Schizosaccharomyces pombe: one gene and its partners. Each later gene encodes a partner of the first gene's protein in a complex. Each region holds a gene or a part of one and is shown in the gene's direction. Other genes may lie near its edges. The genes, in order: seh1, gle1, nup85 and nup82.

Evidence for each region.
Region 2: seh1 (region 1) and gle1 share a complex: the UniProt entries of both Schizosaccharomyces pombe proteins name them as parts of the nuclear pore complex.
Region 3: seh1 (region 1) and nup85 share a complex: the UniProt entries of both Schizosaccharomyces pombe proteins name them as parts of the nuclear pore complex.
Region 4: seh1 (region 1) and nup82 share a complex: the UniProt entries of both Schizosaccharomyces pombe proteins name them as parts of the nuclear pore complex.

What each region holds. Positions count from the first base shown.
Region 1 is NC_003424.3:2,397,259-2,401,934, forward strand, and holds seh1 (GATOR2-SEACAT complex WD repeat subunit Seh1), read left to right. Parts: upstream 1-2,150; 5' UTR 2,151-2,162; coding exon 2,163-2,229; exon of another isoform or gene 2,230-2,270; coding exon 2,271-3,204; intron 3,205-3,258; coding exon 3,259-3,277; 3' UTR 3,278-3,461; downstream 3,462-4,676. Other genes in the region: glm1 (glomulin), read right to left, coding at 192-565, 621-930; nuclear import protein Nxt2, read right to left, coding at 3,702-3,809, 3,888-3,989, 4,042-4,113, 4,183-4,265, 4,308-4,314. UniProt on the Schizosaccharomyces pombe protein: Functions as a component of the nuclear pore complex (NPC).
Region 2 is NC_003423.3:245,480-250,534, forward strand, and holds gle1 (nucleoporin Gle1), read left to right. Parts: upstream 1-1,749; 5' UTR 1,750-1,781; coding exon 1,782-1,919; exon of another isoform or gene 1,920-1,969; coding exon 1,970-3,274; 3' UTR 3,275-3,498; downstream 3,499-5,055. Other genes in the region: SNARE Pep12, read left to right, coding at 239-818, 949-1,160; GTP-binding protein Bms1, read left to right, coding at 3,608-3,709, 3,757-5,055. UniProt on the Schizosaccharomyces pombe protein: Functions as a component of the nuclear pore complex (NPC).
Region 3 is NC_003423.3:2,173,156-2,179,467, reverse strand, and holds nup85 (nucleoporin Nup85), read left to right. Parts: upstream 1-3,037; 5' UTR 3,038-3,339; coding exon 3,340-5,367; 3' UTR 5,368-5,812; downstream 5,813-6,312. Other genes in the region: RRM-containing cyclophilin Rct1, read right to left, coding at 136-1,434; lysine--tRNA (Lys) ligase Krs1, read left to right, coding at 5,836-6,312. UniProt on the Schizosaccharomyces pombe protein: Functions as a component of the nuclear pore complex (NPC).
Region 4 is NC_003423.3:3,398,185-3,404,316, forward strand, and holds nup82 (nucleoporin, WD repeat Nup82), read left to right. Parts: upstream 1-2,433; coding exon 2,434-4,830; 3' UTR 4,831-5,125; downstream 5,126-6,132. Other genes in the region: mitochondrial [2Fe-2S] cluster assembly NADPH-ferredoxin reductase Arh1, read left to right, coding at 1-935; cbc2 (nuclear cap-binding complex large subunit), read right to left, coding at 1,152-1,282, 1,364-1,571, 1,680-1,889; bbl1 (phosphatidate cytidylyltransferase), read left to right, coding at 5,419-5,756, 5,940-6,079, 6,125-6,132. UniProt on the Schizosaccharomyces pombe protein: Functions as a component of the nuclear pore complex (NPC).

The sequences.
Region 1 (4,676 bases):
AAGTAGCAGCACATATTTTTTCGTTTACAAATAGCTTAGTAATGAAGTTTCCCCAAAAAAAAATAGTTTAATATTTCGTAGTCGGTTTGGGTAACGGTGATGCTCTGCGATCATATCACATTACTCGATAAGTACAAAGATTAAATAAAAATAAATACACGGTATCTTCTCTAAAAGGCATTGCAGTGGTGTCAAGTAGTACCATTAAGGTTGGATCTTTCGTTGGCATAATTCCAAAGATCTTCATCTTTTAGTCCCAAAGGTCCCATTGTCATGACATTAGTGCCTTTTGCGGTATGCCACACGATAACATGAGGAGGGTCATTTGTATTACTAAGTTCCCATAAGTATGACAGTATGCTTTTTATTTTCTTTTGGATATCGGGGTCATGGACAGTAAAAATTGAGCATTTGCCAAGTTTTCTTCTCCATATACTAAATAAGCAAAGAACTTTGTATTTATCTTCTCCAGATATGTGTATAAGGGGACTCAAGCCCATGCTATCAAAAATTAAATATTGGCTCCATGCTTCATGAATTGAATCTTTTCCTTTAAAATTATGAACTACAGCTGTTAAAATTTAAGAAAACAAAGTGTCATTATCCTATTTTTGACGCACCGTTTGATTGTTTATCATTATTCCTTATAAACACCTTAATTTCCACATTGTTACATTTAGAACCCTTTAGTAATGAAAACTTTCTGTTTTTAGGTACCTTATTAGTTTTCAAACTCAAAAAATTTCGCAATGTCTTAAATAAGCCTTTGCCATCCTTATGAAAACTTTTTTTATGCCCTATTTTGCTGTCTGATACGCTTGAGTATAACGTTTTTGTATCAGATGAACCCTCCCAGTCATTATAATCATCCTCTTCAACTGTACGTAGACGATCCAAGTAGTTATCCGAGAACGGCCTGATTTGTTCCATTTCTGGCCTTGATCGAACTAACTCAGATTAGCGAGTAAGGGATAGGCTTTGTTTTTTATTTTTAGAAAAGGGTCGTTTTACAATACTCAATATAATCAAAATTCCGTAGAGTCAAAATGGCATTGCCAATTGACATTCAGTGTATAAAAAATAAAAAAAATTGAAAAATTTCCCATTTAAAAGATATACTATACTTGTGGCACTGACGTGCAATTACAATCATTATTACTTGTACATGACTTGCCTATTAAGTCCTGAAGTATTGTAGTATAATAACACACATGAGACAAGAACATATTATGGGTCACAAAAGTCATTTTGAAATCTGTGATAATCTGCAAATACAAAACTGAAAAGAATTGACTGGTAGTGTCACTATTTTGTTAAACACTGACTGCATTTAATAAATAGACAAGCTTATAAATTCAAAAAACCAACACTTTAATGATATCAATGTTACTACTATCGTTTGTCTCTTTGCAAAATCAAATAAAATGTTTTTATGAATTTTTTTGCTAATTTTGATTACGGCTCCTCAGCATTTTATTGTGAAGTTCTTATTTTACAAAAAAAGTATTAACATTATATATGCATATTTTTTAATGGGGGACTAATATTTTCAAATTACCTACTTCAGTTTTGCATTAATTAAATCAATAATTTTATCAAAAGATTTTGTACCTTAAACAAAATATCAATAATACTTTTAACTATACTGAAACCATTAAAAAAAGCACATAATTTCATATTTGTAAATGAAGGTAATTAATAACTAACTATTGACTGAGGTATACATACCACTAACAACTAAATAATTTAGTAGTCCGGAAGACTATTTGTATAGTACTTGAAACTTTCATTTCATTTTTTAAACGTCAATGAACATATTAGATTATTATCGTTTTGGCTTACCAAATCACTTCAGGTGAAATAACGTCAATGTGGTATACAAATTTGTTATTACCATCTATTAAGAATGAACTGAGTGAAGATTATGTGCAGTAGATATTTGCTGACTATTTTAGTCGTTTTGTATATTCTTTACTATGATTGTCGCCTTCGATGAGTTAACTTGTCGGACCGAAAGTTAAGCATGCGAAAAGTCTTCTTTACAAAAAATTTACTTCTTTCATTTTTTCTAGACTTACCCTCTTTTTTTTTGCGCTGATACCGATAATTTACATATAAAATCTTTTGGCCCTTCTTTACTAGCTCACCTCGTCTCTACCAACATGGATGATATTTCGGCTACTACGATTCAAACAAATCACCAAGATTTAGTGAATGATGTTACATACGGTAAGGAAATATTATTTTAGATTTTGTAGCTAATTGTCAAGACTTTTATGGCCGTCGAATGGTATCATGTTCAGCTGATCAACGAGTCAAGGTTTACGATTTTAATGATGATACTGAAACATGGGCAATCACTTCTGAATGGAGGGCAGGAGATGCTAGTCTAATGAGGGTTGCTTGGGCTCATCCTTCATTTGGTCAAGTGCTAGCTGTCTGCAGTTTAGACAGAGGGGTTCGGATCTATGAGGAACAAAAAAAGAACTTTGAATCCAAGACATGGGTTGAAGTTGCAAAATTAATGGATGCTCGTAGCGCCGTATTAGACATATCATTTTGCCCTTTTCAACATGGTTGCAAATTAGCAGCAGTTTCGGCGGATGCTACTTTACGGATTTATGAGGCCATGGAACCCGGTAATTTAACGTATTGGACTTTAATGAATGAAATTGCTTTAATGCCGTCCCCTCCTTCGCGCAACGAGCAACCAGCGTTTTGTGTAAATTGGTGCCCATCACGTTGGCGAGAACAGTACATTGCTGTTGGATGCATGAATGATGCTTACATTTACAAGCAGAACTCTCATGGAAAATGGAAAAAAGTTGCTGAGTTACCCGGACATACAGATCTTATTCGTGATATTTGCTGGGCTCCGAGTATGGGCAGTAGTTATTACCTGATAGCTACTGCATGCAAAGATGGGAATGTTCGTATTTTTAAAGTTGAAACCCTTTGCGAAGAAGTATTTCAAGAGGAAGAAGATGCTGGAAATTCAATGACAGAAGACTCAAATTTCAATCTAAATTCTTTGAAGGTGGAACTCATTGGTGAATATGATAACCATAAATGTCAAGTGTGGAGATGCCGTTTTAATGTGACAGGAACTATTTTGAGCAGCTCGGGCGATGATGGGTGCGTTCGTTTATGGAAAGCGTCCTATGCAAATTTATTTAAATGCATATCTGTCGTTTCTTTAGAAAAGTAAGTTCAGAGATGCTTTCGGCCTCATGAATATATGATACTAACTTGTGACAGAAAACCTGAAAAATTGTGATTTACTTAGTTCAATTTTAATGTAACAGATACATTGAATGGCCGACCTTGCTTGGTTTCCTTTCTTAAATTATTTCATATTTACCAGCTAGATCATAACCAAATTGTAAAAAAGGAGATATTACTTTATAAATTTTTGGTTTTAATTTATAATTTTAGACAAGTGAACTAACATTCGCTTTGAGATTAAATTTTCATTTAGCGTAAAACTTCGAAATTAGACTAAGTCTTAATGTAAACTTTTAGGTAGAGTTCAATTCGAAAATTTGTTTTAACGAACTAAACAAGCGATGGGTTCAAAAAGCTATATCTGCTACAGGTTGTAGTTTGAAAATCCGGTAATCGCTACAAAAGCATAAAAAAAAAGAAAATGAAATTGCAGATAATCAAGATACTTGTATTAAATATTTTCACTATGATATTCTTCAACCATAGTTCAAACGAAACAGGTCATTTAAGACATAGTAGTTACCATTATTGTTAACAAGGTGAAAAACTTGGCTATAGCGCTGGGCCATTTGCTCTTCATCCAACTACAAAAAGGTTAAAAAAAGAGCAAAGCAAAAAAAAAAAAAATGAATAGAATAAGTAACATCAATCTTATAACTTACCAAAAGCTCACCTGTAACCATAACGATTACGGATCCAGTAGTACCAGTAGGTTGAGCATCCAAAGTTGAGATGCGGTGTTGAACGCGTTGAAAAGGCAGGCTCTATACCAAACAGTTAATAAAAAAAAGGAAGACGTTTCAGTTATTATCATACAACAAGTTTTTCCACAATGGCTTTAGTTCCTTGGAGTTGGGCTCCCTCAAAACTCAGCATCGACTCTTCTCTCTAATATATATAAGTTAGCTGCCCAGATAAATACACGTAGGATTAATTTCATAATTAGAAGTCGCATACGTATAGTGAAGAAAGTTGAGAACGATCGGAATCGAAAGTTTGGTAGTAAAATTGAGTGAACTGGGTCGCCAAAGCATTATAGTCTGCAGAGTATTAGCAATAAATCATACAAATTTTTATCTTACCAGCCATAATGAAAGATGGTGGTAAAAGGTAGACCTATTATTTCAAGTTCGAAAAATCGCGTCAAAAAAGATCGTACAGACACCTTAAGTAATTTAACGTAAAATGATACAACTCTTAATATGTAAAATAACATGATAAACTTATAGTTGTGTTATTTGGCAAAAGTCCTCTATTCGAATAGTATTGGCAATGGTAGAAAAACGAATTTGCAATAAGATTTGAAGGGGTTTTACTTCATGCAAACAACAGGATAGATGTTTATCCGTTCCTATTGAGACAAAATTTATGAGAAAAAATATGGTGCTAGCGTCTAACTAGTATCATGAACGAAATGGAACATAATATTTACTTGATTGTGAAGATTGCTT
Region 2 (5,055 bases), on another chromosome or scaffold:
CCTTGCTCATAAGATTTGCATTCTTCTTCCAACTACTAAAACACTTGACAATTGTCAAGGTTTCTACGAACAAAAGAATTGTAACCTTAGCAAGGTGACTAATTATTGCTGAAAAACTTTGAATCTTTGTTTTCAGACTCAATTCAAGCTAATTGGCCAATTTTTTAATTATATTGACTTTCTTAGTACCTTTGCAAATACTGTTGGATTGCTTTGATTCAATTTTTTTGTTGCTATAATGTCTTTTGTTGACTTGGAGCAAGGAAGACATAAGATCGAGCAAAATGGTGACTTTCCAGCCTTAGCGAGCAGTATTGCTCAGGAAATTCATGCTCTACGAGGAAACACAGCAGCAATTCATAGATATTTGGTAAACAACCTTACGAAAAACTTACATGAGGTTTTAGAGCAATCCCGTGAACTATCTCAAAAGGTTCGTTCAGACTTGGTAAGGCTTGCCAACATCAAAGATACAAAATATGGAGAAGAAGCGTCGTCCTTCGCCTTATCAAAGCTTACCCGAGATTTTAATACGGTATTGGCTGAGCTTCAAAGAGTACAACAGAAATGCGCTCAACAAGAGTCTGATTCTGTAGCCGCAGCACAAGCTGCACTTAATCAAGACGTCGGACAACATTTTATTGAAGAGGAAGAGCGTAATGTGTCTCTATCAAATAATTCTTCTGGTCAACGACAGCCGTTGACTGAGTCAAAGATTTCAAATTCCCAACTAGAATATCAGCAAAGGCTTATTAATGAACGACAAGGTGAAATCGAAAATTTGACTCAAGGAATAAATGAACTCAATGAAATCTTTCGTAAGTATCAGCTAGTTGACATTTTTTTTTTTTCTGTTTACGTGATGGAGTTAGGAGTAATGCTAAATACTTGACCTAAAATATTTTCGCTTTTATAAATTTAAAGTTTTACTAACAATTTTCTTTTTAGGCGATCTAAGCACCATTATTAATGAACAGGGTGAACTAGTTACCAACATTGAATACAACGTCGGAAACACATCGACAAACACGAAAAATGCTTCAAGGCAGTTGCAGATTGCCAACGAGCATTCAAGAAAGGCTAGAAAAAGAAGCTTTTGCTTTCTTGTAATTCTAGTTGTTATACTGGGGGTAATATTAACAGCTTTAATAATGGGCTAGAAATCTTTTGCTATGTTTTCCTCATTCAGGTCCCAAAATGCAAATCTTTATAATTTAAATTCGATAAGAAGAAATCTTACAAAACATTTTCGGAATCGTGTGTTAGTATCGTTATACGTGAGTTGCTCTTCACGTGTTTGGTCATTACCGTATGTTCATGCATTCAAGATAGCGTATTCTATTCAATTCCTTGATACAGATTATTTCTTTACTTGATTTATTTTAATGACCTAGAGGAAGTCCTCCAATATCAGTTAATCCATTTTAGCTATAGACGAAGTCAAATCTCTCGCTTTGCCTGCAATTGTTTATATTGCATTCTTACTTATTGTATTTTTTTGCAACTTCATTGGGCTAGTTATACTTTGATTTTTAATTAATGATACTTGTTTATGTTAATATATACTTATGTCTCATAGTTTGGATGATTGCTTGTTCTGTTTTTTTAATTATAATTTAAACCGCCTAATACAATCTAATAACCTAAGACTTTTATAGTTTTGACACTTGTAATGTTAATTAAAGCAAGCATCAAGTTTCGATCAATTTGAGTTTCGCATAGTGAATGTCCATTCCAAATCGTCCTTTTACCAATTTCCTCAATTTCAGGAAATTTCAGTTATGGATACAAAAACAACACCTTTAATCCATGCTAAACTCGATGAAAAAATAATATCTAGTTATAACGATGCTAACGGTCTTGACATTGATGATTTATGGGATATATATAATGAAAAAACACGGCGAATGATTCACATAGTAAGTATTCGATTTTCTATTAATATTATTTTTATTAATAATGTTCTTAGATATCACAAAGGTATAAGCCTAAAAAACAATCTCCATTTCCTGTAATTGCCGATGAAAATGTGCGTATTTTCCCACCGTTGCATAAAACGATAGATTGGGCAAAGAAGAGGAATGTTGAAGAGCAAAATTTAATTGAACAAAGTATAACTGAATCTCAAAGAATTTTTTCAGAGAAACAAAGGTTAGAACAGGAACGATTTAATCGTGAATTGTTGGAAAAAAAGCGTATCGAAGCAGAACGCCAAAGACTGAAAGATGAAGAGGAGAGAAGAAAAAAAGAATTGATGGAAAAGGAAAAAAAAGAAAAAGAAAGAATCAGGCTGATAGAAGAGCAAAAACACAAGGAGAATGAACAAAGGCGATTAAAGCAGGAGCAAATTGACGCTAAAAGGAAAGAAGAAGAAGCTCGGGAAAAGAGAATGAAGGAAACATTTAAAGACGATCCTGAAGAGGACTCAAATATGGCTTGGTCCATCATTCATAAGATTAAGACTGAAGTAGTAGCCCCGATTTCTGAGAAAAAAGAGCTCAAAAACTATTGCTTTACTCAAAAACGGAAAATTACACCACGTTTAGGTCAAATTACTAAAAGCAATTCTCAAATCATGAAGATTACACAGCTACTGCAACAGACATTCCAAGAGGCCAGAAATACGGATCCCTTGGTCTATAAATGGGTTTTGAATTTTTTCTGCAAATCTGTGGTGAAGCAAGCAGAAGCAGAAGTTGCTGTAAACCCAATTAGCGCTTATCCTTTGGCAAAAGTTTGCCTTTTATTACAAACACAAAACGCCGACCTTAAAGATCTTCTTTTTGCTCGCCTACAGAAGAACTGTCCTTGGGTTATACCGTTTTGGTATGATCACGGTACGGAGAATGGTAAAAAGAAAATGGGATTTAAAAAGCTATCTGATGGCCATTGGGAACAAAATACTACATACAACGAGCGACAGTGCGGAATTTTTGCAGTTTACGCTGCTATACTTTCTTTAGACGATAGCTTAGCTCCCGAGAGCTGGAGAACATTTTCTCGATTGCTGAATCTTCCATCCCCTTCACAATTAATGAAATCGGACTTGGAACTAGGGCAAACTCTTTGCTCTATCGTCTCAACGTATCTTGATATTGCTGGTCAATCTCTATTACGAATATATGGAAGACAAGCAAAAAAACTTATTGTTTGTTCTTTTAGTGAAGCTTATCTAGGAGCGAACGGAGGTGGTAGTCAGTATGGTCGTCTTCGAATTGTTGGAGAAGACTGGATGAAGGGTCAAGGAGGGCTCAAATTCTCCTTTGAGCCTTAAATTTTTTTGATGGGTTTTCAACCTATTTACTTTTGATTTATAATATACTTACGGTAGAAATTATAGTCGTTAGGATGTGTACTAGATAATTGTTTCAATTTAATTCAACCATTACGATTTAAATGATCCTGGCTTTGATGTCAGTTTCGCTGATTAATACCATATTTACTTTTGCATTAAATAAAGATAATTTGACTCAAGAAATGCATTTTCGCTACAGACACTGCTATTCAAAATTTGTTATATCATGTTACCTTGATGTGACTTAAAGTGGATTTTTTCACCTACTCAACTTTGAGCCTTTACAAATATCTAGCTTGTTCCATAGTTGTCATGGACGAGAAGAAGGGCCATTATGCAAAACATTCTGGGCCAAAAGCTGAAAAAAAGAAGCTCAAAAAGGTGTCCGATGGTAGTGCTTCAAACAATCCTAAGGTATGTTGAGAACTTTTGTAAATAATCAAATTGGCTAATAAGAATAGGCATTTGCGGTAGCATCTGCAGGGCGCATGGCTAGGCAAGCTATGCGTACGGCGGATATTTCACAAAAGAAGCTTCACGTGCCAATGGTGGATCGCACACCGGATGAAGCTCCGCCACCAGTGATTGTTGCCGTTATGGGGCCTCCTGGCACTGGAAAATCTACTTTGATAAAATCTTTAGTACGTAGATATTCTAAATACACTATTTCTCAGATTACTGGGCCGATTACGGTGGTTGCAGGAAAGAAGAGAAGAATCACGTTTTTGGAGTGTCCTAACGATCTCAGCTCTATGATTGACGTAGCCAAGATTGCAGACCTTGTTCTCCTTTTAATTGACGCGAATTTTGGATTCGAAATGGAAACTATGGAGTTTTTGAACATATTAGCACCGCATGGTATGCCTCGCATCATGGGTGTATTAACACATCTCGATTTATTTAAGAAGACTTCTACATTGCGAGAGGCTAAAAAACGTTTGAAACACAGATTTTGGACTGAACTCTATCAAGGTGCTAAATTGTTCTACTTGTCCGGCGTTTTGAACGGACGATATCCTGATAGGGAAATCCTCAATTTATCTCGATTCATAAGTGTCATGAAATTTAGGCCTTTGCGATGGCGCAACCAACATCCCTATTTACTAGCTGATCGTATGGAAGACCTTACTTTGCCTGTTGACATTGAACAAAATCCGAAAGTTGGGCGGAAAATCACGTTATATGGTTATTTGCATGGCACAAATCTTCCTAAGCACGATGCCTCTGTACATATCCCTGGTGTTGGTGATTTTGTAACGTCTGATGTTTCTTCCCTAGAAGATCCTTGCCCGCCTCCCGATGCCGACAAAGTCCGTCGCCGGCGACTATCAGAAAAACAAAAATTAATCTATGGCCCTATGGCCGATATTGGTGGTATTTTGTTTGACAAAGATAGGGTTTACATTGAGGTACCAACTTCAAATTTTTCTAAAGATGAAAATTCTGAAGCTGGCTTTGGAGAGCGTATGGTTATGCAACTTCAAGAAGCCCAACAGCCTCTGGGAGTCGATGGTAATAGTGGATTACAACTTTTTAGCAATTCAGATGCTATTGATACGGTCGATAGAGAATCAAGTGAAATTGATAATGTTGGCCGTAAAACCCGTCGCCAACCAACTGGACTTATTAATCAAGAACTAATTAAGGAAGATGAAGGGGCATTTGATGATTCTGATGTTAATTCTGCTGATGAAAACGAAGACGTCGACTTTACAGGAAAAATTGGTGCTATAAATAACGAGGATGAAAGTGACAACGAA
Region 3 (6,312 bases), on another chromosome or scaffold:
TTTTGCTTTTACAAGTATAAGCAATGTAGATTTCATTCCATACATTTGAAGTCTTAATCAATTATTCAACTATGTTTTAGTAATTTCATCAGTCATAAATAATATTCACAAGAAAGGTACGAATATAATAAAGATCTATCGATATCTATCATCTCTATAACGTCTATCATATCTATACCTTCGTTCAGGAGATTTATCTCGTAAGTGATCATCACAATTTTTATTTCCAGTATTTCTCCGTTTATGGTATGAACGATCATCACCGTAGTAGTTAGAAAATCTTTCATTTCTAAATGAACTTTGATCGTCACGATGATCACGCTCTTTCCGTCGATGCCTATAGTCGTCTCGGTAATTAGATCTGTCATAACGACCATCAGACCTACGGTGGTACTCACGATCATCACTACGAGACGAAGAACGTTTTCGGTCCCTATTGGAGTTGTAATATTGTCTGTAACGAGCCACGCTTTGGGAAAAATCTACGTGAATTCGAGAATCATCAATTAAAACATTTTGCATTTTAAAATAAGCTTTTTCAACACTTTCTTTGTTATCAAATTCGATAAAGGCATATTGAAGACTATCGCCTGTTTCTTTATCTCGAATAACTTGGCAGGAGATAATTTTTCCAAATCGCGAGAATATTAACTCTAAATCTTCATCTTGGGTAACGGGATTTAATTTGCAAACGAACAAAACGTTTTCGGGAGGAGCAACATGAGCAAAGGGTAAATCACCAATCATTTCTAGTGTAACAGCCTCTGCTTCTGCCTCCATTTCCTTCTCTCTTTGCAATTTATCTTCCGATGTTTCTGACTCAATTTGTTCGTTTTCCCCTATACGTACCGTAGCTAATTGTTCAGGCGTTGGAGACGGTGACCGCAAAGGCTCCACTAGATCGGGTGGATCCTCAAACGGGTCATCTAGTATAATTGTGTGTTTTATACGAATATCACGATAAGGCTGACCCTCTTCATCGCATATAGCGTCATTGATTTTCAGTAGCGTGTCAAAGCCTTCAGCAACCTGTCCATAAATTGGGTATCTTTCATCAAGTCCTTCTAAATTGTCTGACAAAGTTATTATAAACTGACTACCACAAACAAGTAATTTGTCATCTCTAGAAGATATAGTTGCTGTGCTCATACTAACCAAGCCCATTTTATTATGTACCAAAGAAGGATTAAATTCCGCTTTGAAAAAGCGTGTTCCTTTATTCAGTACATTCCACACACATCGACCACCATCTCCAGTTGGTCCAAGAGGATCACCTGTTTGACAGGTATAATTGTGCTGAATGTTATAAAATGGACAAAAATTATAGTATTTTAATTTGCATAATTTAAGAAAATTCTCACAAGTTTTGGGCGCTTCCTTGACGAATAAATCGATAACCAAATCACCAACTGTAGTTTCAATTAGTACAGACATGGCTTTTTAAAGATACTTGAATGGTATTCTTGGATGGTATGATGTAAGAATGTTTCAAAAAAACGATTGTATACATGCAAGAAGGCTTTATTCTCAGATATCCACAAATTACCAAAAAAATAAACCAAAGCTCTCAAGCGTAATATTCCAATTCAAAAAATATATACAAAAATTCAGCAAGTTATAACAGAAAATATAAATTAAACCAAAGCAATAACAAAAGGGTAAAATCAGTCGAACATACTGTTTATGTTGGTGTTTGGAAAGTTTTTTCTGTTTAACTCGTTAAAATCATTTGCAGTGATTCGTTAAATACGTAAACAAACTAGGCAAAAACGCAATGTGATACATTCGTTTGTAACACAATTAAGTAAATTTTTTATATTATATTCACTTATTAAAGCCTTAGAACATCTAGGTAGACAATCTAAAGTGATCATACTTTGTTTTGTTCCAAAGGTTTTAATTTGGTAAGGAGTAATTTAATTTTTTATTTTAGCGATCGTCACGCACAGTTTGCTCCTTCCTGCTGTCTTTTGAGCTAGGTCTTTCTTTCCTTTAGTGTTCCTTGAGTACATTTAACAACAAAGGTAATTCCCGCAAAGGAAAAATAATACACGACCATTCTTAATTTGTTTGTTATAGATACTTTATTGACTTTGAACGCATATTATCGATGATAATAAATCGACACTAATTCTGTTTAATATAATATTAATTAATTTGTACTTTGATGGCATATATCTTGACAAAAAAGCGGTATGCAAAGATTCAATTATGACTGTTTAGTTCTATTTTTTCAGAATCCCTTCAATAATGATATATATAGCATCAAACTCTGTAAGTTACCCTTGCATTTACAAATATTGCTATTAAACATAAATTGCTTAATTGCCAACAGTTCTCAATGAAACTTATTTTTAATGTATAACGTATTTTCATACTAGATTGCAAGTACTTTTCTTCGTTAGCAGCACAGCCTAAATTCTGTATTTTAACTGGAAGATACGAAATTCAATTGCGGACTTTTACGGCGTATAAACCGTTCATAATCCGAAAAACAAGTATGGCTATAATTAAGTTGCTAAAGTTAAATGATCATTGTCTAAGTGTGGACATGGTTGCAATGAATTTTAAAATCATTTAAGTAAACAGTTCTTCATTATAGAAATACTTTTTGATTATCAACTGTCCTTCCAACAGACAGGTAATGTTCTTTAAAAGAGTCAGTTGCAAGGTTCGAAACGTTAATTACGTGTGTAGTTAGTCCATCGAAGATTTATCGAATATGTAAGCATGAATCTTGGTTAATTCACTGGTAAAATAAGTGATAACAAATTTATATAGAAACGAAATTTATTACAATTTATAATTTAAATTAATTTGCAAACATGATCAATTTTTTTATGCCTCCATGAAATACGATCATGCATCGAATTTTGACGAAGATAAAAGCAACGGCATATTCGTTTCTAATTTTTATTTTAATTCCTTTAATTCTAATAACATTAAAGAAAGTCAGGAAGACTGCTATTTTTTGTTGCGACGATCTGAGTTCAAACTTCATATTGTAGCCTGGCTCCAATTCGATCAACCTTACTTTACGATTAAAGCATCTTTAAAGGAGTGTCTGCTCTTCCTTAGATAATTAGTATTATTCGTTGTCAAAAAAAACCAACAAGAATCAAGTGAGATTTAATTTTTATACTAAATTACTCCTGGTCGAGCAAGAGCCATCCTTTTTGACATCTGAAAAACGCCTGCAGGTGGACACATGCAAATTCCTAATACTTACTGATTTTTTTGAGTATCGGAAAGCAGATAAATATATTCTTTTATATTTTGGTTAATCCAAATCTTACAAGGCTTTTTTCTTACTTTCTTCGGAACTACTAACATTCCAATATGGAATCTTCGGATGAAGTGGATCTTCCTGTTTATCATTTACAAAATGCACCTATAGAAAATGGAAAGTTGAATGACTGGCGTTCAAAAGGCCGAACGGTAGCCTTCAAATTGCATCCTTTTTTGAGAAAAGGACTAGCGTACATTAATAACAAAGAATTTGACGAAAATACGTTAAAGTCTGATAAATTTGAAGAAGTAGAATCTCTGGTGTATGAATTTAGTACTCCTTCTACTCTAATTGAACCAAATTACCTTTTGACCGCATGGCATGAATTATGGGAAGAATTACAAGATACCTATATGACTCCTATCTTGGACAGCGAGGCAAATTTGCTTTTGTTAACGCAGTTTTATGGGAAAATAAGCTCGCTCTTCCGCTCTAAAATTATACAAGTTTTAGAGGAGTTGCAGTCGCGTATTAACGAGGGTGAAAAAGATTGTCAGCCTGTTTTGGATTCTTTATGGGAAGTGGAATCAGCTTGGCGCTGTGCTGAAGCTATTTATTTCCCCCCTTCTTCTCCTTATACCTTATCAACAGGAATTTTAGATTGGGTAAATGCCTATGATCCACAGCCTATTGCCGATGATGGACTCGAAATCATGGCTTATCGTATACCTTACCAACATCCTGAATTTTGGCCTTATGTTAATAAAACAGCTATTCGTGGACTTTTTGAACAAACTATATCATGCCTCGAGATGTCCGGTTTAACGAAGGAGTGGCCTGTACTTAAAGAAACAGTTGACGAACTTATTGATATATTACGTTACAGCCCTTGTACGCACCAAAAGAGAATTAGGTCGGTTTCCGATTTTGAAAGACGATGGAAACTGTGGCGATCACGCTTGGCTAACCTCAGACATGTGGTTAAGAAACATCGGGATATTGATTCGGAAGTTTTGGATGATTTTGTTGTTTTGCTTGATATTTTGAATGGAAATAAAGAAGTCATCATGTTAAGTTGCGCACACTGGCAGGAATATTTTTCAGCTTTAGCATTTTTATATGGTCCTTTGGATTGTAAAAATCCTGAAGATATATCTCTATTATATCAACTTGCAACTGGAGAAGACTCAAAGTTTTACGTTAATGGAACGATTGAGTATGAACAAATATGCGTTAATTTATGCAGTAATGAACCTCTTAACGCTATTAAACACGCCTATCTTCTAGATCTTGGACTAGCCGTGCATTTAGCAGACTTATTGAGTAAAAGCGGTCATTTGCGGGATTACATAACCGAGGAATATCCCATTACCTTACGTGAACATCTTATACTGGAATATGGGCAGTGTGTTTTAGAAAGTAGAAATCTTTGGCAAACGTCCTTTGCTTACTGGAAATGTGTTGCTGATTCCGGCTATCAACGAATAAAAGCTTGTATTCCATATGTCCCTCTTTCCGATGTGGATGCCAAGGAAACTGCACTTCAATTATGCAAGCAGCTTAAACTAAGGGACGAAGCTCAATTAGTATTGACTCATTGGGCTGATGAATTAATTGCACGTAATCACTATGGTGAAGCACTAATTGCTTTAGATAATGCTGCGAACTATTCTGCTTTAAATCGCGTTACTTGGGAATTGTTTGATATATGTATTGCAGAAAAGAAGTCATTTAGTCCCGATAAAGATGAACTGTTGTATGAATTGTTTAGCTCTCCTAAAGCCTGTACCCCGACCCTTGCCTCGATAATATCTCCAGCTGCTACAATTCATCAATATTTTTTTTACCTTCAGCACAAAAAAGAGCTCAATGCCTCTGAACTTCTTGTTGGGTTACTAACAATGGTTGATTTCCCTTCAAGTCGATTCCCTAAGTTATTAGAACTACTTCACGAATTTTTGAATAATCCTTTACAGTCTAACTCGACAGATTTTAAGCTTTCTCTTGTTAATGTTTATGATTGTATCGCTGTCTTACAGGATCAACAGTCAACTGTAAAGGACCAGCAGCTTTTACTATCCATTCATGAGCGTCTTTCTTCTGCGATATCATGGTATTTTCTTCACTTAAAAAAATAAAAACGGTTTAATTCTATAGTAGCTATGCTATATATTTTTTCTGCAAATTTTGGCTCACTTGTACATAATTGAGTTATTTACTCAATTGGGGATTTAAATTAGGCTATTTCTGTTACTTGACATTTTAATCTTTCTGTAACATAGAAGCTTCATACATGTTTTTATTAAGATACAATTGTTCATCTTAAAGACCCATTATAATGTCTCGTCTAATACCATAATAGGGAGGATCCAAAATCAGTGAACCCAGCCGATGTTGTAAATCTAAAAAATTTTACACATTTATTACTCACATCTTCAAACGTTTAGCATATATCAACAGAATCATTTTAAAAAAATATTAACTAAATAACGGAATGTGTTATATTACACTATCTTATGTTACGGAACTACCATCTACAAGGGGTAAATATTCTCTTCCTCCACGAAAATTTCTCTGAAACCTGAAAACGGCAATTGTAAGCTAAAATGAGTGAGGAACAGGTGAATGGAGTTACACAGGCTGTAAAGGCTTTAGTCCTTGATCCCGTCACTGGTGAACAAGTCTCAAAGACTGAGTTAAAGAAGCGCGAAAAACAACGTGCTCGTGAATTAGCTAAAGCAAAAAAGCAAGCCGAAAAGGCTGCGTCTGCTCCTGTTGCTGCTCCTAAGAGCTCTTCAAAGAAGGAAGAAGATTTGGACCCTTCCCAGTACTTTGAAAATCGTTCTCGTACTATCATGGAATTACGCCAAACGAAGGATCCTAATCCTTATCCCCACAAGTTCCAGGTCACCATCACCCTCCCTGAATTTATAGCCAAATATGAGGGACTAGCTCGTGGTGAAACTAAGCCTGAAGTTGAAGTTGCAGTTGCCGGCCGTGTTCTTGGGCTTCGTACTGCTGGTAATAAGCTGCGTTTCTATGAAATCCATGCTGATGGGAAAAAGCTTCAAGTTATGTGTCAA
Region 4 (6,132 bases), on another chromosome or scaffold:
CAGTAGTTATTGGACATGGTAATGTTTCACTTGATGTAGCTCGAATCCTTTTAAGTAATCCTGCTCAATTATCCCCAACTGACATTAATCCATTGTTCCTCAAATCACTTGAAAGAAGCAATTTAAAAAGATTACACATTGTAGGAAGAAGAAACATATTTTCTGTCTCGTTTACTATCAAAGAATTGAGAGAACTGTTTGCCCTATCAAGTGCAGTTTTCTTTGCTCCTTCCTTTAATTATTCTACAAAGTGGATGAATGAAACAGATGCAAGCGGTTTGGATAGACCTAGAAAGAGATTGTTAAAGCTATTAGTTTCCGAAATCCAGAAAGCTGTTTCAGAGAAACGAGTAGCCCCTTATTCAAAAGACAAGAAATGTTGGAATTTGGAATTTGGCTTAACACCTGTTGAGATTCTAGGACATAAGGGAAATGTTGAAAATGTTCGCTTTCAGATTACAGATAGCATAAGAACAGATGCTGAGTCAAAATTTACAACCATACCCGCACAGTTGTTTATCCGAAGTATAGGGTATAAAAGTATGCCCTTGCCTGGAATGAAAGACGTTGGCGTTCCATTCGACGATGCAAAAGGAATTGTAAAAAATGTTAACGGATTTGTTCGTCCTGGCATTTACACTAGTGGATGGGTGAAACATGGGCCAATTGGAGTCATTGCTACGACCATGATGGATGCATTTGCTACAGCGGATACAATAACTAAGGATTGGAAATCCAAAAAGGAATTTCTCAAAAATAGTAAGCTAGGATGGGATGGCTTAAAAAAGAACATTAAAACACCTGTAATTCACTGGAAAGATTGGAAGGTAATTCGAAATGCAGAAATTGAAAGAGGTCTTAGGCATGAGTCTCTCAGTGAAAAATTCAGGTCGAATGAAGATATGATTAAACTAATATATCCCGGTAAAAAATAGATACTGCATAGTTTAATTAAATCATTTGTAACTTGAATATTGGTTTGTATAATGAAATAAGTCTTATGCCAAAAAAATATATCGCAAGCTGGTCTTACAGATTTCTTTGTAAAGCATTTTAAAATGGACCAACTCTAAAAATTCCGGAATAAATAGTAAGAAGTGCCTGTGAATCTTCCAATACCTCGTTAAAGTCCGAATTATATAACTAACTTTTTAATTTTTTTTCCAACGATTGTATCTTGGATTACTTTGAAGTTCTAGAGAAGATCCTAAAGGAGCAGAAGAAATTCCAGAATAGTTTGCAAGCTGTCTAGAGCTGGTTGGTTGCCTATTTTTTGCATATCCTAAAGTCAAGTTAGTATGTTATTAAGTTTGCAGAGACTGTATTGATTAAATATCGCTTCTTTTAGAATCCGACTACATACCACCACGTCCAGGATCAAATTCTTCCCGCATTTCATCTCTGACTTGGCCTCCGGATGCACCTCTGCCATATTGACGACCTTCTTCGTAACCATGATCCAAATCTGCACGAATAATTCTTTCATCCAATGATGTTCTTGAAATGTATTTTAAGCTATCTAAAGCATCTTGATTTTCAAAATATTCAACAAAACAAAACCCACATGGTGTCTGGTAATATTTGATTAGTACAAGTCGGGCATCTATGATTGCATTCCAAGACAACTTTGAAAGTAATGAACTTGAAGAGCAAATAAACAGAATTTTATGAAAACTTACCTTTGTAAATCTATCTACGCCCATGATAATTCGTCGAATCTCACCACATTTGGAAAATAAAGCATAAATTTGCTCCTCGGTGGTATAGAATGAAAGGTTGCCAACATAAACACAGTTACTTTGTTTCACAGCATCTAAAGCACGTAAATCGTTTTTAAACCTCCGTATGAGATACGGAGAAACAGCATCTAACCTTGTTATTGATGCCATTTTTCCTAGGCAGTGGTTGTAGGTTGAAGTCTAACTTTATAGTGTACTATGCATTTACAAAGTAAAAAAATCATCGTGTAAATGTAGCTAATTCCAACCCTTATAATAATTGGTTTTAAAATTACATTTGTTCTTTAAGAGAATTTGAATTAAGGAAATCGCTTTTTTGAATGAACTATGCTAGCTAACTTATTGCTTTATCTTAAATGAAGTAAAACTGTTAAATATTAGGAAACTTAATGCTTATAATGTAATTGATGTATAGAATTTGTATACCTGTTATTCGCAAACTAAAATCATTTAAATGTTTTTAAAAGAAGTAGCATTCAAGCACTATTACACCATATGCTGCATTTCGCTAGAAAGAGGAAAAGGCTCCAAAGATCTGGTTCTTTTAATTTACCTATAACAAGCTAGGTACAAATAATTATGGTATATTCTAATATTCAAAGTACACATGTATTACTTTTTACATTTATTTAGCGACGCATTCTTCCTCCTTATTTAATACTCGCAGAAGACTAACAAAATGGCATCAACCATCATGTCTCAAGAGGTATCATGGACAGACATTTTGGAAAAGCATCCTGCCCTACGATGGATTAAACCTATTCCTGAGGATTGGGAAATTTTTCCCAAGCATCTTTGCGCGTTTGAGTCGTTTCTGTACGTTGCTGTGGGGCAAGAAGTCAGAAGCTTGGATTGTCGACTCTTAAAACATAAAAATGAAGCATCTCATAAGAATTTTTACAAAAAACTTTTTAATCCAGAATTAGACTTTATGATTGAACAGATTTGCCTTAGTAAAAATGGCCGATTTCTAGCAGTGGTAGGAAAATCAAAAATTGTTATACTGGGTTTGAGATCAAAGTTATCTGAACAAAATCCACTTGCAGAGTCCGTTTCAAACTTTGGTGAATCTGTTAACAATTTTTCAAATTCAGAACACCAGGAAAACGGGACTAACTCATTAAAATTATCGGAGGTTACCATTTGTTCGGTTGCAGTTATTAATCCTTCTTCTCAAATTGTCTCCGTTCGATTTCACCCACTGGGGAAGTCCGGAAGATCTTTGGTTGTATTAACTGAAACTTCACTCTTGCTTTATGAGGCTGGAAATGGAGTGTTAATGCCCGATTATGAGATTCCTCTTAAATTGACGCATCAGGCTTCCAATTCATTTGATGCCGATGTAGATTTGCATATACCGACCGCTTTTTGCTTTAGCAATGTTTCTCAAGGGTGGGGGGTATTTACAATTTATATTCTGACCCGAGGAGGAGATGTTTTTAGCGTTTGCCCGGTAATGCCAGCAAATGCAATGATACCCCAAGACGTTTTGAAACAAATTAGATTAATTTTAACTAAAAAAGAGGACGATGCTGATGCGGAAAATCATCGTAGAAATGTTCATTGGATTACTAAACTATTAGGCGAAGCAGCACTTGCAAACGATTTAAGTACCTCATTTGTTATATCCGAAGGTAGCTCTGAACTTTTTGATTCATCTGATTATGTATCTGTTCGTAGACCAGATGATTTTTCATTTATACCTTCTATGCAAGGACCCTTTCTTCTACAACCAGCTGTAGCTGATGATGAGCTTATTGAAGACTATTGTGATATTTATTCTTTTGGTATGAACCCAATTGACGTACTCGCCATTGGTGGTTCCGAGGGTCGCCTTGATCTTTTGCTCTTAGTGTCAGAAGTTAGCGGACGATGGTCTAAACTTAATGATCATGGTTTAGCATCTATGAAACTTATTGTTTCACAAGTTCATTCACTGTATCTTTCTAACAATAACCCTTATATGGTATTACAACCAGATATTCAGTCTCCGTATTCTTTAATCGCATATCATGCCAACGGCTTACATGTAGTTGATATTGAATCTTGGGCTAGAGATCTAAATCTTAATTTCGAAAACAGTGAATTTTTGAACAACGAGGAAGAGAATGATGAGGATGAACTTTCAAATGTGTTGGTTTCTATTCCTTCTCGTACTTCTGTTTTGGAAAGATTGGACACAAATCCTCTGAACGAAAGCACTGACGCTGTTGTCGGTTGCGCCCAATTGTATTATCCCTCTCTAGGTAAAATCCTTATATCACTTACTAGGAATTGGCAAACTACTGTATTTGATGATTCTGATTTGGCCACAATGGGTGTCAACAAGGAATCTTTATCGAATGAAATGGATTACTCAAAATCACTTGGTACTTCTTCTCTTGAGCAAGTTGATGACTTAGATGAAAAGTTGACGTATACACCTTTATATGTTTCATTATTAGAAAAAACTCCCTTTACAGATCCTTCAATCCCAAGTTTGGTTGAAAGAACAATTGTACCTGCTGAACTGCAAAATGAAATTACAGTGTCATCCGCTTCCTTACGCTTTTTAGGAAAAGTTGTTGCTCGTTATAGGGAAACGCTGAATTTGTTAGATCATGGCTGTAGCGAGCTGCATCACCGTTTAAAGCTTCAAAGGGAGGAATATGAGCGACAGCAGAACCACATTTACAAACTTTCAGACAGGATTAGTAACTTTAGAGAAAAAGCATGGTCTACTGAGCATCTAGAGCACTTAACTTCTGATATGTCAATGTGTGAAAAGAGGATTGATCAGGTTTTACAACGTGTTATGGACTTGCGTGTCCCTGATCTTTCTGATAAGGAAAAGCAATTTATTAAAGAAATTGGAAATTATAAAGAAAAAGTTACAGGCGAGCGTGGTATTGAGAAACGAGTTGAAACTCTAAAAACTCTCTTGCAGCGTACCAAACCGAGAGATGCACAAACAACGCTAGTCGCATCTTCTTCGGATATGCGCCTTGCTGCTATTGAACAACTTCAAAAGCTGTTGGCGCAACAAAGCTTATCTATTAAGGAACTCAAAACTAAGACTGTCTCTTTTCAAAGATTATTACAAACATCTTGAAAAAAATTAGTCAGCTAAACAAAAAAAGCTATTATAGTGTTAAACTAAGCGTAAGTTTTTTTACCAGAAGTTTTCTTCTCTTTTTACCTTTGATAATAGATTTTATAATCGGAATTTTGGCGGATATTATTATATTTACTCTGGCCCATTTAAAAATTCATTAATATTAATGGTCGATATTTTATATTTCCTAAGCTCTGATTTTTAAAATTTGAACTTAATATAATAATGAAATCTTTTAGAAATGCAATTGTCTTGGTTATTGTTTTAATAATTTAAACAAACAGCAGTTATGCTTTTTTTTTTAAAGTCTTACATTAAGGAGCGAATTTTTTACTCATTCGAGAGTATTGTACCCACGAGGCAAGTCTCTAAAGCTTAGAACATATAATGGTTAGTAACATAACGTACTATAGTGTAGTGAGATTTTATTGACATATATTTCATATAGTGCGATTTATACAGATTATTACTAACTTTCGTAAAAAGAAACAAGAACTTGACCCACTAACATCTCACTCTTCAAACCCATCAAATCTTTTCCACAAAATTATAAGCGTTTTTCCAAAGATAGGGAAGTTTTAAAGTATGGCGCGGAAGAGAACTAATAAAAGAAATAATTCGGATAAAGAAAATGGAAATGTTGGGGTTGTCCAAAATAAGGACAGCGCGTCTTCCAAGACTACCGAGCCAGCGAGGCTTACTAAACATAAATCTTTGGCTAGAAAGCCAAGTCAAAATTTTATTACGCGTACTATATGGACCTTTTTGTTGCTCGGTATATTTTTCACTGCTTTGGCAATGGGTCACTTTTGGGTTGTTCTGCTGGTCACTATAGTTCAGATTGGTGTGTACAAAGAGGTGATAGCTATTGCAAGCGTTCCCAGTAGAGAAAAGGATCTTCCGTGGACAAGGTTTATTAACTGGTATGTGAGATGATACTGTTCACTAGCTTTTCTAAAGTGTTTAACTGTGATGTTGGTGTTCGCGATCAGTAGAGTATTTTAAAAAAAAATAATAGAAAATGAAAAGCCAAAATCGTTTTTCTCTTTTTAGCGTCAAATTTATTACCTTTTTGTTTTTTAAGGCAGTTTTTTAACTTTTTTTAGGTATTTTCTAATGACAACCTTGTATTACGCTTATGGTGAAAGTATCTATGCTTACTTTCACCATCTTTTTATTATGGATTCTTTTATGCTTCCATTGGTTTTACACCATAGGTTTATATCCTTTATGTTGTACATCATAGGTTAGTGGATTAAACGTCTTTGAATTGTTTACTAATTTTTGCTAGGTTTTGTA